Linked DNA regions of Lepisosteus oculatus. The protein of the gene in region 1 interacts with the protein of each later gene in a pairwise test. Links are inferred from orthologs where the notes say so. Each region holds a gene or a part of one and is shown in the gene's direction. Other genes may lie near its edges.

What was found. The genes of interacting proteins can lie anywhere in the genome.
Region 2: the proteins of protein bicaudal D homolog 2 (region 1) and snw1 interact in binary tests that used the Homo sapiens proteins (3 or more experiments, as listed by UniProt). The link is inferred for Lepisosteus oculatus from reciprocal best matches to the Homo sapiens genes BICD2 and SNW1.

The regions. Positions count from the first base shown.
Region 1 is NC_090699.1:63,445,058-63,453,036, reverse strand, and holds the start of protein bicaudal D homolog 2, read left to right. Parts: upstream 1-4,964; 5' UTR 4,965-5,280; coding exon 5,281-5,514; intron 5,515-7,979. UniProt on the Homo sapiens protein: Acts as an adapter protein linking the dynein motor complex to various cargos and converts dynein from a non-processive to a highly processive motor in the presence of dynactin.
Region 2 is NC_090703.1:2,093,340-2,100,204, reverse strand, and holds the start of snw1 (SNW domain-containing protein 1), read left to right. Parts: upstream 1-3,848; 5' UTR 3,849-3,923; coding exon 3,924-3,937; intron 3,938-4,835; coding exon 4,836-4,989; intron 4,990-5,787; coding exon 5,788-5,949; intron 5,950-6,259; coding exon 6,260-6,355; intron 6,356-6,615; coding exon 6,616-6,722; intron 6,723-6,865. Other genes in the region: adck1 (aarF domain-containing protein kinase 1), read right to left, coding at 130-213, 1,795-1,926. UniProt on the Homo sapiens protein: Involved in pre-mRNA splicing as component of the spliceosome. As a component of the minor spliceosome, involved in the splicing of U12-type introns in pre-mRNAs.

The DNA.
Region 1 (7,979 bases):
ACCAAATGATGGAGAAGCGTGTTGGAGCACAGAATGCTGTCCCTGGATGTAACAGCTTCTTCATGGTCCACACTGTATACTCCAGCCATATCAAGGGATGTGAGCAAATCCCACTGAGGACTCATAAGCCCAGTGCTGTCAGCCTCACAGCCGCTGTCTTCCTGTTTCGTTCAGAAGAGCCTGGTTTGCAGACATGAGAGCTTAAAAATGTGCACGATCTGAATTCAAATGGTTGTAATTCGTTTTCAAGCCGGACTTTATTAATAACTGAGATAAATTACTTAAGCTGTTGCTAAAAGAAGGAAAGTTAAAATCTCAAATACCCAACACCTAGGTACATAAAACAGTTTTCACACCACATTCTGAAGGCCTTTCACATTTTCTTCATTTATTTCAGATTCTCTGGCATTACATGCAGTATGCCAGGAAGAACTACAGTGCATAGAAGAGATCTTCATCAGTAGATGTCTTTCACTGATGGATGAGTTTGCTTTTCCCTACATAGTCCCAGTCTTTATTTTTTTGTAAGGGAAAGGGTCAAACTGCTAAAGCTATTGACTTGACTTGACAACGTATTAAGGATTTAGTGCATCGTTAATTAAATAAGAACAATATCTTTCTTTGACATTTACCCAAATGAACAACTGGGACATTTTGGACACCAAACATCATGAAGGCTTGGGCTAAACTGTGGTTTGTGTTTTATTTTAATGTGGTTGGAACCCCCACATCAAACAAGCAATAATACATATACTTTGTTGTTCATAACTCATACGCTATGTAGTGTAGTAATTGGTGCATACAGTGATAAACGAGGTTTTAAATGGTCATGATGTTTAATTCACAGCAAAATACATGACGTGTAACCAGGAACAGAAAACAGGTCCAGAGAATCCATTATCACACAGCCTCTAGGTGAAAGGCAGGACATACTATACCAACTCATGCTTTGTGACAGAATCTATGAGTTATTAAGTGTTTCATGTATTTTATTACATAAAGAAAGGTTTAAAATTATTTTCTTTTTTTAAATCTATCTAATTTTTTTTAAACCTAGAACTAAGTTAGTTGAGAACAAACACTCATTTTCAGTGACGACCTGGAGACCTGTATATACAGCAGGGCCTTGAAAGCAGCAACTGAACCCACAGTCCTCTGGTCTGGAGCACCAACCAGTACTCCACACTGCTGCTTTCCTCAAGTGATGATGGGTGTGTGCATGTTTCCTGTTTCAAAGAAACAAATTGCTTTAGTTTTTCAGCAGTCCCTTACCTGTTTTCAAGTTACCTACAGCTCCATGAAACCTGCCACAACCCATCGGACATCGGACAGTTAACTTTGATGAATTGTAAAAGTATATTATATGTTTGAGGAATACAATTACACTTACATTACACCCATGTAAACCGTTCCCTTACTTTACATTTTATTTATGTTATGTTTACTGTATGGGATGCACGTCTTGCAAACACATATAGAACTACAAACACTGCTTACTAAGTGCGGCATTTAGTTGAGGAAAAAATGTAAAAATGCAAGTACAGCAGTCATTAAAATGCTTTTCTTACCTGCCACTTAAGCAGGTAAAGGCACTGATCTATAGAAGCTTCACTCACACTGAGGTGTGGTTGTGACTGTTTGCATGCCATATGCTGCCCAGTGTACTGCACGTCCTCTGTCAGGACATTTTTCCTCTGGCAGACGGCAGCAGACTTGATTTTCTGTCAGCATATACTGCTCTCGGCGTTTCACAATACCATATCTACTTATTTACAATTTATATGTATTATATCCACCTGAAACAACTGATGAGCACTTCCAAAATCTATGCTTTAAATATTGAGCAGCCATTCAGAAAACTGCTGTCTGCCAACACCCACACATGGGAGAAAATAATTAAAATGGGAGAAAAATAATTAAAACGTGAATTGGATGAACTCACTGAGGCAAAGAGCTCTGGGCACCATCTGTAGAATCTTATGCAGAGTATGTTACAATTTTCCACTCTGCATTATCAATTTTACCCATCCATGTACATCTTTTCTCTTGGTCCCACACAATGCCTTCCAGATCACACGCTATGTACCACTCCATATCAGCCCTGCTTGGATATGTTTAGTCTGTTATACATTCATGATGTTTGTTTAGATAAATCTTAAAATGTAAATTGCTGTGAGCCCTCAAGCTGGGGTTTATGAACTTAATTGGGAAGCAGGGAGGGTTAAAAGAATGCATAATTACAATACAGCTACAGCGCAGTTTGTCCTTGATTTATGATTTGCATATTCTTGATTTATGCTAATTATCAGACCTACACTTTTCAGCAGTTTTTTCATTGATTGCGTTGCAAATATCCCCCATAGTCTTACCCATTCGATCGTTGAAAACATTTACGTGTGTCTTTCTCATTTTACTAATACGGTATGTGTATGATTCTAAATATTTACTTCATAATATATGTGTTTCTAAATGGTTTTCACAATATCGTCACAATATGAGGGTGGCGATGTGTGGGGGTGGCTCTGGTTGAAATATCTGATGAACAGCTAGGTATTTTGGCAAAGAAAGGACTGCAGCTGCTGCTCAGAATACAGACTTCTGGAGAACCACAGCTGCATGTCTTGGATATTTCTGTAGTAGCAAATTTTGGCATGTCATGACATCTGACTGGGAAGAACCCGAATAATGAAGCAAAGCTGACAGACTGCAAAGGGAGACTCAGAAAACGCAGCTGTCAGAAATACAAGAATGGCAATCTTCAGCAAACACAGACATCAACTTACAAAAAGCAAATACATCTGTGACTACTGTGGGAAAAGGGAAACAATAACTGTACAGGATATCTCATGATATATGCCATGTATATGAATGTACAATATAAGGCTGCTATATCTCATAGTTTCATAGCCATAACAGTAGTTATATCAGAATGATGAGAGTTCAGAAAACATGTTTATGTTATAGGAAAGCAGTGTCTTGCAGTGGAGTGTTTAGATTTAATCAGAGTATTCTTGCTTCTTCTACAGTGGGTGGATCTATTTAATTTTGGTTAAGGAAATGTAATCATCGACTTGTTTGAATCAGACTTTTACCCAGCACTGGCAGAATATTTCCTTTTGCTTTTTAAACATAACAAAAGACCTTCAGTTTTCAAAGTCGATGTACTGTATCAGTCTAAGGTTTGTGTTCTCACCAAATTACAAAAGAAAAAGAATATTCTCCTTTTTCGCTTTCACTCGGCCTGATGCTATATTTTCTGAAGAGCGGTATCCAAATTTGTAGTTTCTTATCCTGCTAGTGACGAGCAAGGTCAGATCCCAATTTATTTAACCAAATAATTTACAATGATGGGACTCAAATTGGAATGTACCAATTTTCCTCTGAGGTTATTTAATGGAGCAAACTGAGAGAGGTAACTTGCTTAGAGGCACTATGTAAGTTGTTCAGCCAAATGACATTGTACAACATCCTGGAGTTGCAAGAATGGGAATCTAGCAGAATAAAATGTTGGTGGACCACTAGGTGGTGCTCTTTCCTCTCTAGACCAGAATTTCCAAATGAGAGCCCACAGTATGGTGACCAGGAACTTGTCTCTGCCTGAAGACCAGTGACCCCTGCAGGCCCCCCAAGTAAACAGTAAAAAAAAAGGCTGGGCAGGCATAGAGAGGGGGTTGGGGGTGGGTCTGGGACGCCAGAACCACTGTGGAGACTTCTGGAGATGTTGTGGGCTCATAGACAATGCACTGATGATGGAAGGTGCCCACTGAAACCCCAAAGACATGTCGCCCCCAGCCCCCGCCTCAAGACTCACGATTAAGGCAAGAAACAGTGGTGCGCTCCCCATCTCTAAGGGATTGTACCATCAATTCCCACGTGTCAGAACTGCAGTAACAAGTGTCATCCTGCTGCTGAGATGTAAGACGGTAGTCTTAGATACGTGGTCATTAAGGATCACTGGGCGCTGTTTGTAAGAGTACGGGTGTTGTTCACCCTGGGATTCAAATTAAATCGCGCTCAGGGATTTTACAAGTAACTTCTCACTTCTTCAACTGACCTGCGGTATAGTGGCAGATAATGGCATCCAGGTGCCAAAGTGAGTCCCCTCTTATGTGTAAAGTGCTTTGGGATCCTTTGGGATGAAAACACGACATACAATGCAATTAATTATTATGATACTACACCACATCACAGTTAATGACGTTCTACTGGCAGTGCATAATTTAAATCCTTGTAGTAGTGGAAACGTGAAAGATAATTCTTTAAACTCTGTGGTTTCGAAGTCAAACGTGTACAAGATCTCGAACGCAAACCTTCGTCAGATACATTACGAAGTACTGATTTACCCTCGTTGACATAATCTACTTTTGGTCTGCTTTCGTAATATGCAAGGTATAGGTTAAATACAATACATTTGATATATTTATAATGAAGAGCTCAATAAGACAAATCGGTATTCGTTATGTTCATTTACAAAACTGTAACCGATAATAAAATCGTTTCCTTGTCATTGAACACACGCTCGAATGCAATCAGGTTTAACGACTTAATACTACCGAAGGACTCTAAATACCAATTCCCAAATGCAGTTTTCCACGCACCGTAGCTCATCTCTGACCGGGCCTGCCTGTAAATGCAGACAGCGGTATAAAATATCCGTTTTTTTTTTTAACCTGAAGGTGGCGCTACCGCTCACTCTTCGGGCTTCTGCCGCCCTCCACATATTCCATATAGTAGTCAAAGCGAGCGTTACAGCTTCTGGCAGCGAGTGAGCTGTCCACATGTACAAACTAGCAGTGGATCATGGGAGTTGGAGTTCTTTTGACCCGTCGCGCTGTAGTTACAGCCGACAAGAGCACTGCATCTCCCGGTATGCGCCAACGCTCCCTTGGAGCGCATCCCAGGGGATGACTTCACGACAGTCCGCAGCCCCCCCTCCCATCAGTATTAACTGAGCAGGAGGAGAAGCTCAGGGCACCAGAAGCCGCAACCATGAACTAGATTTAAAAGAGACCAGTATAACGGTCTGGGGGGAAGAAGAAAAAAAAGGGCTGGTTTTCGCGTATGAAACAAAAAAAGCGGAAGGGCTGAAATACAGCAACTGCTAGGGAAGGAGAGCAAACATGCAGTTCAAACGCAGAAGACTTTAAAACCCCCTTTTTTTAAAATCAGAAGGGGCGTTTGCGGTCCTTCCAGAGGCGAGGGATCCGGTTCAAGCTTCTCTGCTCACTGCTTTTAGATCCCCACCCCGCTTGCGTGTGCCGCCGGCCAGCCGAGATCAAGATGTCCGTGGACGAGTATCCCGGGTCGGTGGTGGTGCCGGACGCCGGACCGCAGTGGCTCCGGGCGGAGGTGGAGCGGCTGTCCCGGGAGCTGAGCGAGACGACCCGGGAGAAGATCCAGGCTGCCGAGTACGGGCTGGCGGTGCTGGAGGAGAAGCAGCAGCTGAAGCAGCAGTATGACGACCTGGAAGCCGAGTACGAGACCGTCCGACAGGAGCTCGACCAGCTCAAAGAGGTACGGGATACATTGTAATAAAAAAAAAAAGAAACAAACAGAAATGTTTGCCCGCAACGTTGTTGCGCAGGCGGTGAAACATTTCTCGGCAAGTCGCTGATTCAGCTTGGTCTTCAGCTGTCAAAAGGAATATCGGTTAAGACAGGGGGTTGTTGGGTTTTTTTTTTAAAACGTTTTCTTGGGAAGGATACGCACTGCATCCGTCGGGAGAGGGATTATGTCCTCAGCTGTCCCCGTTTCCGTTAAAACAAGATCGTCTTTTCAGGGTTAAAAACGTTGGCATCTCCAACGCTGTAGCCCTAGATATCGGCGCTGCTGGTGTGGCACTTGACGATCACCAGATTCAGTTTGTCGCATTCAGTCTCCACCCCACCTCCGGGGTTATGTTGTCTTTTATATGCAACTATATATAGGGTGTCCGAATTCAGTTTGGCAGTTTAAGTTTCCTTTATAACGTCAAAAGAGATGCAGAAGCATTTTGTAGCATAAACTTTCAACGAAAAACTAGGCGTATCCATTTGCAAGAGGAGTTCGCGTTCTCGTTTGAATGGTATCTTTACAACTACAGCTCTTCAGAAACGTTTGAACGAAGAAACAGAAGTCGGGATTCGTTCATTTAGATTTTTTGTTAGGTTTTTAAACGGGTTCAACCGGCCCCGTTGTGATTTTTGTTCCGTTTTTGAACCTTTATTGCAGTTTTTGTTTCCCCTCGATTAGATCTATCGCCCTCTACAGGGCGGCCGGCTGATTATGGAAGGGAAGACGAATTTGGCTTGGATAACGTTGAGATAACCTCGCATTTTAGTCAGCTATTAAATCTGGTAGATTTTCATGTTTTGATTTTACACACACATGTATATATATAACCTAAATGCCTCCTCTAGAATGTCATATATGAATATAGACTAATATATAGTAAGTGAAAGCTATTGAAGTTGCCCTTTTTAATTTTAATGTACCTGCTAGTTACATTAAAATGTATATAGGGTGTTTATCTTGAGATTGGGCGCTGCACAAACTGAAGAGCCTTATTGTTAGTAGGTTAAGCCAGCCTGAGACCAGTCGACCAGTGAGTTTAAAGTGCGTCGAGGAATGGACGGACAAGTTTTGACCGTGGTGGAATGTGAGGAATGCTGGTGGGTTCCCTGGTGGAGGGGGAACCCTGAAGGATCAAGTTATTTTCGCGCCAGAATGAGTGTCTGCAGCCTCAACAGGCGGTAAACTGGTGATGTCGATTATATACTGTAAGATTAGCAGGTTCAGACAAATGTTTAAGATTCGTCTGAGGATGCCATTCTGCAAAAGAAAGTGGTCAAATATGGAGCTCGTTGGTGGTTTTCACTGCAGTGTGAGAAACAGAACGCCTCTATAGTGCTAGAGTGCCTCAAGAACAAAAGATTTATAGGGCAAGAAATAGCAGAGTATTTTACTTTGGTAGGGCATTTTGTTTTACTGTTATTTTTCAGTATAAATATTATACTTTCAAGACAAAAACTACATTAGGAGTATTTATACATGTGGAGATCTGCATTTAGTGGGAAACTATAACCATGATGAATATGTATATATTCAGTACATAATCCATACCCAATATCTGCAATGATACCCAGTATATGTCAATTTATCTAAGGTTTTTTTTAGATATTGTTATTAGCTCTGTGTTGTAGTGCTCAGCTTTTTTTAGTTTTTTTTTAAACAAAAAATTATTAGTGTATGATATTTAGAAAGTGAAGGAACTGTTATCGTTTTTTTACAATAATTCGAGGATTCAATAAATGTGGGGAAAAACCATTTTCTGTAATTGCCAAGCAAACACAGAAGACACTGCATCTCAGTGTTGGGTCTTGTTTATTTCTCCGCGGGTGTGCGTATTTGAGTAGTCTTGTCTCTTTTTTTCTTTGTTCAAACAAATTGTAGGAACTCGGAACAGGAACCACAAAGCCCTTTCATTGTTTCTCAGTGTATTCCAGCAGTACAGTTGGGGTGTATGCACTCTTCTCCGATGCAGGGGAGAATGGAGCTCTCTTTGTGCAGACAGCAGAAAGCCCCTAGGTGCACAGTTTGAGGGATGGTCTGGTGAGGAACCAGCACTGAGCTGCAGGCAGTGACTTCAGCGTTTCCACCTCTCGCTGGGCAGCCGGTCTGTGACTGAAAGGGGCCGTGAGGCTGCCTGTACAGTGATTCATTTCCCATGCATTCCTCTGGCTCTCCCACAACACTTAGGGAGAGCAAGCTGTTGTTTGGCCTGTCTCAACGGGTAACCAAGACAACACAAATGAGTGTTTTACAGGAAAATTATGGCCTGAAAACCTCTTTCCACCACAGTCTGATTATCCAAAGTCTTTTTCGGCTTTTTAAAGTCGGTTCGCAATTCCAGATGCAGGCTGGTGAATGTGGCTGTTATGAAGAAAATGTAATAGGCTTAACTCTTTGGGAAGCAGAAATGAGTTGAATTAACTGTTCGC
Region 2 (6,865 bases), on another chromosome or scaffold:
ATTTCAAATCGGTTCTCTACAAAAATTCTATCCTAAATAAAAGTTATCTTTGAATTTTATCAACAAAATGTCATTAAAATGAACAAAATGCATATCACACAGTAAGAGCTCTTGTGAAATCTTACTTACCTCTGACTTGGCAGCGCTGTATTCCTCGGTCCCATATTCAAATCTTCGGAGAGATGTGAAGTAGTCGTAACTGATAACTGCGGTCTACAATGGAAAGGTACAGGGATATTAACCTAACAGTGCTTCTGTAGATATTGGATAAACACTTTCTACAATGAACAGTAGGTTAAAGAGGCAGCACATGCGGAATTAATGTCAAGTCATCCTTTTGGTTATCTTTATGTAAAAAAAAAACAATAACCAAATTCTTAGTAGGAAATAGCTTCAGACTATACTACACTCCTAACGCACTGTATAGTAAATCCCACATTACTGTCTCTTCTTAGCATACCAGCCTCCATGACGACTGTCCTTACAAGAAAAAGCAGATTGGAAACTGTCCTACGACAGTTCCACATGAAAATGTAGAAGCTAGAAAGGTTGAACCTAACTAGAGCCTGCGTTTCTCTCTGAGTAACTCTGAATGTGTTTGGTGTGCGAAGTGTGCTGTTCATGCCAGTGTCATTTCTCCCAACATGGACAAACAAGAACTGGCTCCTCTCCTGCCTTTGCTAGGCACCAGTCAGCCCCATCAGCAGTCTGGAGAATGGCAGGCATTGTGGCTCACTCTTACTGACCCGGGATCCACATGTCTCGTTTCACTTGCAGTTTGTCTGATAACAGCGCCTCCAACAGCCACCACTGCCATATTCTATGCATTTCTGGTGGCTCTGTCACAGACTGAAGGCTTTATAACAGCTGTGCAGTGGACTCCAGTATCTGTGATCATGTTTTCTGCTACTCAGAGGTGTCCAATCTTGACCCTGTACTTCCAAGTCCACTGCCAGAGTGTCTGGTGATGACGAGTTGTTGGGTGGGAGTGTCAGGATGGGCTGTACGTCCTTTGACAACCTGAGCCCAGCTGCCCTCTATCGGCTGCTCTGTGCTGACTGTGGGTGGTCTGCCTTTTCCTCCATCTCCTGCCCTCCGAGTCCCAGACGCTCTCTTTCTTCAAGGAGGAACAGAACAGTGGGAACTCTCTGGGACTGTCCACAAGCCACTTAAGTAATCACAGGCTTATTGGCCATTTTCAATGTACATATCCACTCCTGGACAACTGGCAAATGTCTGAGCTGTGTTATTTCTAAACAAGCCACCTGTCTTCAATCTAGAAACCCTCTCATGGCACAGCTACTACTATCAATTGTATTTAATCCAGCACACATGAGCTAAATTAAATCATAACAGCTCCCACAGGCTGGGTGTCCTCCTCTACAAAGGTTAGCATTCAGCACTACCCTACCAACAGTTTCCCAAAGAGTTTTGGTGATAAAAAAAACAGTGGAGTTGCTTTGCCAAATGTTTCTCATAAAGTAGCAAAGGGCAGCTCATCTGTTAACTCGCAGCTGGGTGTTATTTGGTCCAGACTTGCAAGGTACGGCACTTATGCTGGGAATGACAGATCCCGCGTGAATAAACACACACCATCTTCATTACTGAAGTTCAGATGGGCCAATAGCATAGATGCTGGGCCATAGATGGGCCATAGTAATTTAGCCTCCTCTTCTTCATATTTGTTTCTTATGTATCAAGGACGCACCACAGGTTACAAACACGAGGAAGAAGAAGCCGCCTGGCCCACCTTGCTATTTTTGGTGCAATAGATGAAAGTCGACAGGAACCTACCGTGACCGCAGCTCTTCCGAACCGGATGAAGCTGATGTCATTGAGATCCACAGGCCTGTGATACCAGCAGAACCCCGAAGAGGCCAACAGGGCCGTGGCCAGCGAGGAGACCTTCAGCAGCCGTCCAGCCATGAGGGCACTGCAATGTGGAGAGGAGGAAGCACACGCTCTGTTCTCCCACAGCACTGCCCACGCCAGCTGCGAAGCTCCAGTACAAACGGGGCTGCGATGATGAACATACACATTTCTGACACAATCAGCTGCTTCATTTACCGGCAGTTACTTCACCCTGAACAATCTTACTCCCAGAAGCTGCTTCTGTCAAGACCCATTGTATATTAAAAAGTAGTATTACTCCACGGGTTAAAACACATTTAAGCATGATGATGCATGGATGAGGGTGTTGCAATGAGTAAGGCAACAGGACAGGTGGGAGTGTGTCGGTACTGAGGGCTGTGACACCTTGGTCTGCTTTGTCATGAGCCTGCAGGGCCATTCCTCACAAGCCACTAAAGATGAGTGGCCTTTACATCTGAAAAAAGCGCTCTGCAGCCCTGGCTCATTCTTCATTTATCATACTGTACTGAAACAGGCTTGGCTGCATCCAGTTCAGGCCTGCAATCAGCCCGGATTACCTCGTGCAATATTTCAGTGATATACCACTCCCCGTCTCTGCAGACAGCCTCTGACACGCAGCTGCAAGGACTGTGTGCTGCTCTACGTACTTCATTTTCTCTTTTTTTGCTATGATCTTCCACTCTTTATCAGCATATTCAGTAATATTAAGATAAAATAAAAAAAATATAATCAGTCAAAGAAATTCGACCATAGCTTTTGTGGTGTTTTTTCATCTTATGCATGTTTCTTATTTGTTAGTTCACGTCCTATCAAAGGTGCACTGAGTCTTTTACCTGCCTGCAGAGCATACTTCCCGTGTAGGATGATGAAGGAAGGAAGTAGAGGGTCCCTGAGCACTGCTTTCACATGCTTGAGCAGTTGGAGGGAGAATTAGCAAAGATTGTGTCTCTGCATCAGGGTGTTGTATTGTTGTATGGGAACAGCACCCGTCTCTGCCCATGCATGAGCAAGCAGTAACATTTATGGCATTATAACACAAATTCTGAACACTAACATTGGAAATACTCTTACTGACCAACATAATACACAACAGAAAAAGGTTACAATACATGTAGAGTTTCAGAGAAAGGGACCTTGCCTTGAGTTTAACGTTACGAATCAGAAAGGCATTTCAGAGAACCTCCTGCAAGTAGTACTATTCAGCAGTGAGCGCAGCACTTTACTAAGTCGCTAAACAAATAATACTGACCATCATCATATTTAATTATGGTAATTGGTCTTCGTATATCACGAATCGTTTTCCCATTGTTGTCATTTGTGTGTTGCTTTCAGTACTGATGGCTACAGTCACACTGTGTGGATGGCAGTTCATGTCGCCAGTGGTGAAGACACACGACATCATACATGAACTAAACGTTCAGAAACAACCTGTAACATTACAGCAGCAACAAGGCTTTTCATTAAGGATGTTTAAGAAAGGTATCGGAGTTGTACTGCATTTCATGAGCAGTGCAGTGCAGTGCCATGCCATTGACATTATGTAAGTTGAAGGTTTTGTAACACTAACGATATGTACAAATACAAAAGACGCTACAAAATAAATGCACCAAAAAGCAAATCATTTTGTCTTGTTATGAAATACGCACAAAGTGCACACATACAACACTTGCTTACGTTTATTATGCACATTTGTGCAAGTAAATTCCCATTCACTTACCGGTCCAGACGACCTCTCAACTCCCGACCTCAATTATTCTCGACCTGCTCTGCGCAAGGCACCCTGGACAATGTAGTTGATGATCGGGGCAGTCTCGTTTTATTTTTTTATTCAAAAGATTACTCTGAATCGATATTCACCAACGGGACTGATTTATTTTTAGTAATGTTAAATATGACAGGCATTCTACGCGTATTTGCAAGCGCGTCTTGTCCGCTACTGAATCACAAGGTTGTGTAATTAGTGGAAACTGTACAACTGCCGGAGGTTAAGCCTGCGACGTGACGCAAGGAAGCGCGTGGTGACGTCAAACGCCACATTCCGGGGAAACAAGATGTCGCTGGCGAGGTGAGCTGTGTACGACAGAGCTTGTTTTGGGACTAAACGGCGATTATTGTGTGTACGACAGTATCTCGCGATCAAGAATACTAACACGTTTGTTTGCAATTCCTTTCTGGTAATATGCGAAAGCAATAAAGTGATTTATGCCTCCGTTCCCGCTCGGGTCGCTCTGCGCAGTTCCGGGCCCGTCCTGCGGGCCTTATTTATCTCCTGGCCTCCGGGAGAGAGAGGTTTATTCAGTACCTTTTCGAATGTTATTCTCAACGTATGTGATTATATGTAGGAATCCCTATCATTGGCTGACTCCACGGTGTTTAGCTGTTTGAACTGCCGGCTCTCGCTGTCTGGCTGCGCCTCGGTTTCTTGAGCCGGATCGGTTTACAGCTGTATGGTGTGAGTTTGAAGTGAGGGGTCAGCAGTGTTCCGTGCTGAGGAGAGATGAGATCACTTTATTGGCCAAATACAGTTTCTTGCATTAGGTATTTGTCTTTTCGCACACCCCAGCTTGCTCTCCATGAGACACACAGACAGGGAGAGAAGCTGGGGGTCAGAGCGCAGGGTCAGACCCTGGAGCAGTTGGGGTTAAGGGCCTTAATCAGGGGCCCAGCGGAGTAGGATTCCTCTGCCGGCCGCAGGATTTGAACCAGCAACCTTCCAGCCACAGGCGCTGATCCCGAGCCACAGAATCATTGCTCCGCCCACTTGTTGTGAAGTGGTCGTCTGTAATAAAAAGTCTCACAATGGGACGCTTTATCCTTTGTCCTTTAGTGTGTAACCGCAGTTTGTGGAGATTACAGTTACTCTCAGTTCATCTTTAAAACACCTCAAGCCCCTGTTTGTTTTTTTGCTTGGTGCACTGGTTGTTAGTGGGAGCGCTGATCGGGGAATGTGTTTTGGGTTGCAGCTTTTTACCGGCCCCGACACAGCTGACCCAGGACCAGCTGGAGGCGGAGGATGGGCACCGCTCTCAGAGGCCCCCGTCCACCGCGCTGGTGTCCTCCCGCAGAGAGCCGCCGCCGTACGGCTACCGGAAAGGCTGGATTCCCAGGACGCTGGAGGTAATTCTGCTGCAGCTACTCGGGCTGCCTGCCTTGCTAAATGTCTGCATCTGCTTAACCTGTGTGATTCATGAGCTTGCCGTTCAGCCGGTCCAGTAGGTATGTGCTAGTTGGTCCGTACCTAGCATCTCCCTGCCAGGGTATGGATATCAACATATAGCGAGTGGCTTGTTTCACACTCCCACCACTCATTGAGTAAAGACATGCTTCTCCTTCTCAGTTTTAAATGCACTCCCCTGCCGTTTCTGCTTGTGTCTCGTGGTTAACGTTTCATTGTGGCTTCCGAAGAAATCCACAGAGCTTGTCTCACAATTTTGAGTACTAGTGTTGAGCGTGCTTGCTATTTTCTTTTTTTAAGACTAAAAGTACAATACTGAAACCGGGCATTGAATACAATTATAACTCGCATTTGTTTCCAAACTATTTCTTTTGTGTTTTTTTCCTCTGAATTGACGGAAAACCCTTTAAGCATGATATGATGTTAAAAGTCCCATGCTGCCCTGGGTATTGAGACTTTCCCTACAATACTGTACATTATTCCTTATACTTATCTATTGCTTTCCGCCCCATTGCACAGCACATCAGCAAGTGGCGTGCTGAGAGATGGCTTATCTGAGACACAGTGTTAACACCACTTTTTAATAACCAAATTGTCAGACTTAGATTTAATATCTTATCCACTGTGTGGATCAGCAGGTGAGTATTGATTTCCAAACTTTCCAAGGTGACCTCATCAGTAGCTTCAGGGGACTAACACAGACCCACTAATACACATACTGTTTTTGAACTCATTCCCAGGATTTTGGAGATGGCGGTGCTTTCCCTGAGATCCATGTGGCCCAGTACCCACTGGAAATGGGCAGGAAGAAGAAGACCTCGAATGCTCTGGCGCTGCAGGTGGATGCGGAGGGAAAGGTCAAATATGATGCCATTGCAAGGCAAGGGCAGGGCAAGGATAAGGTATGGTACCGTGTTTTCAAATGTCGCAGCATCACAAACATCCTGGCTGCACAGGGAGATAAACCCGCCGGTTTTGGTTAACTTCTGTTTTTAAAGTCCTAAAGGAACTGTTAAGCAAGAAAAACGATTGCAAATTCAGTCGTTATACCCTAAATGTATTCTTTATAACGTAGAGTGATGCAACTACTCATCTGCTTGCCAGAGATGCCTTGTTTACATTGGTAGATTAGCGCAAATGATGTTTTAAGCATGTTCTTCTTAAATGTGCAGCACTGGCAACCAGAATGTTCTTGTTTTTAATTGCTTTTAGGTGATATACAGCAAGTTCACGGATTTGCTTCCTAAGGAAGTTATGAATGAAGATGACCCAGACCTGCAGAGGCCTGATGAAGAAGCGGTTAGAGAGGTGCGTATTTTGTCCAGATTAAACTGCACTGGGAAGAAGAAGCACTTTGATTGCTGACTCCTAATTCTTCCCGCTTGCTTTTGTTTCATGGTCAGTGATAAATTAACATGTTCTCAATAAAGACAGCTTTTATTCCCTGGACCTGAGGCTTTGGACTTTGATATGAATATTACCACTTATCAGTCCATCCACATTTTACCTTGGAGCCCATTTTGAAATAGTGTCTTCAAACTGAAGGGAAAACAATTGTTTTGATGCAGCTGACAGAGAAGACCAGGTCTGCCTTGGACAAGCAGGTATCGCAGAAGATCGCGGCAGCCATGCCTGTGCGGGCAGCCGATAAGCAAGCCCCTGCACAGTACATCAGGTGAGAGGAGTCACTGGTACTTCCTGGTCTCTGTTACAGAATTGATCCCTTAATTGACCTAATATCAATTTGAAATCAAACTCAGCTCAGCTGGAACAAAACCAGCGTGTTTATGGCTTTCTGGGACAAGGCCTGGGAACCCC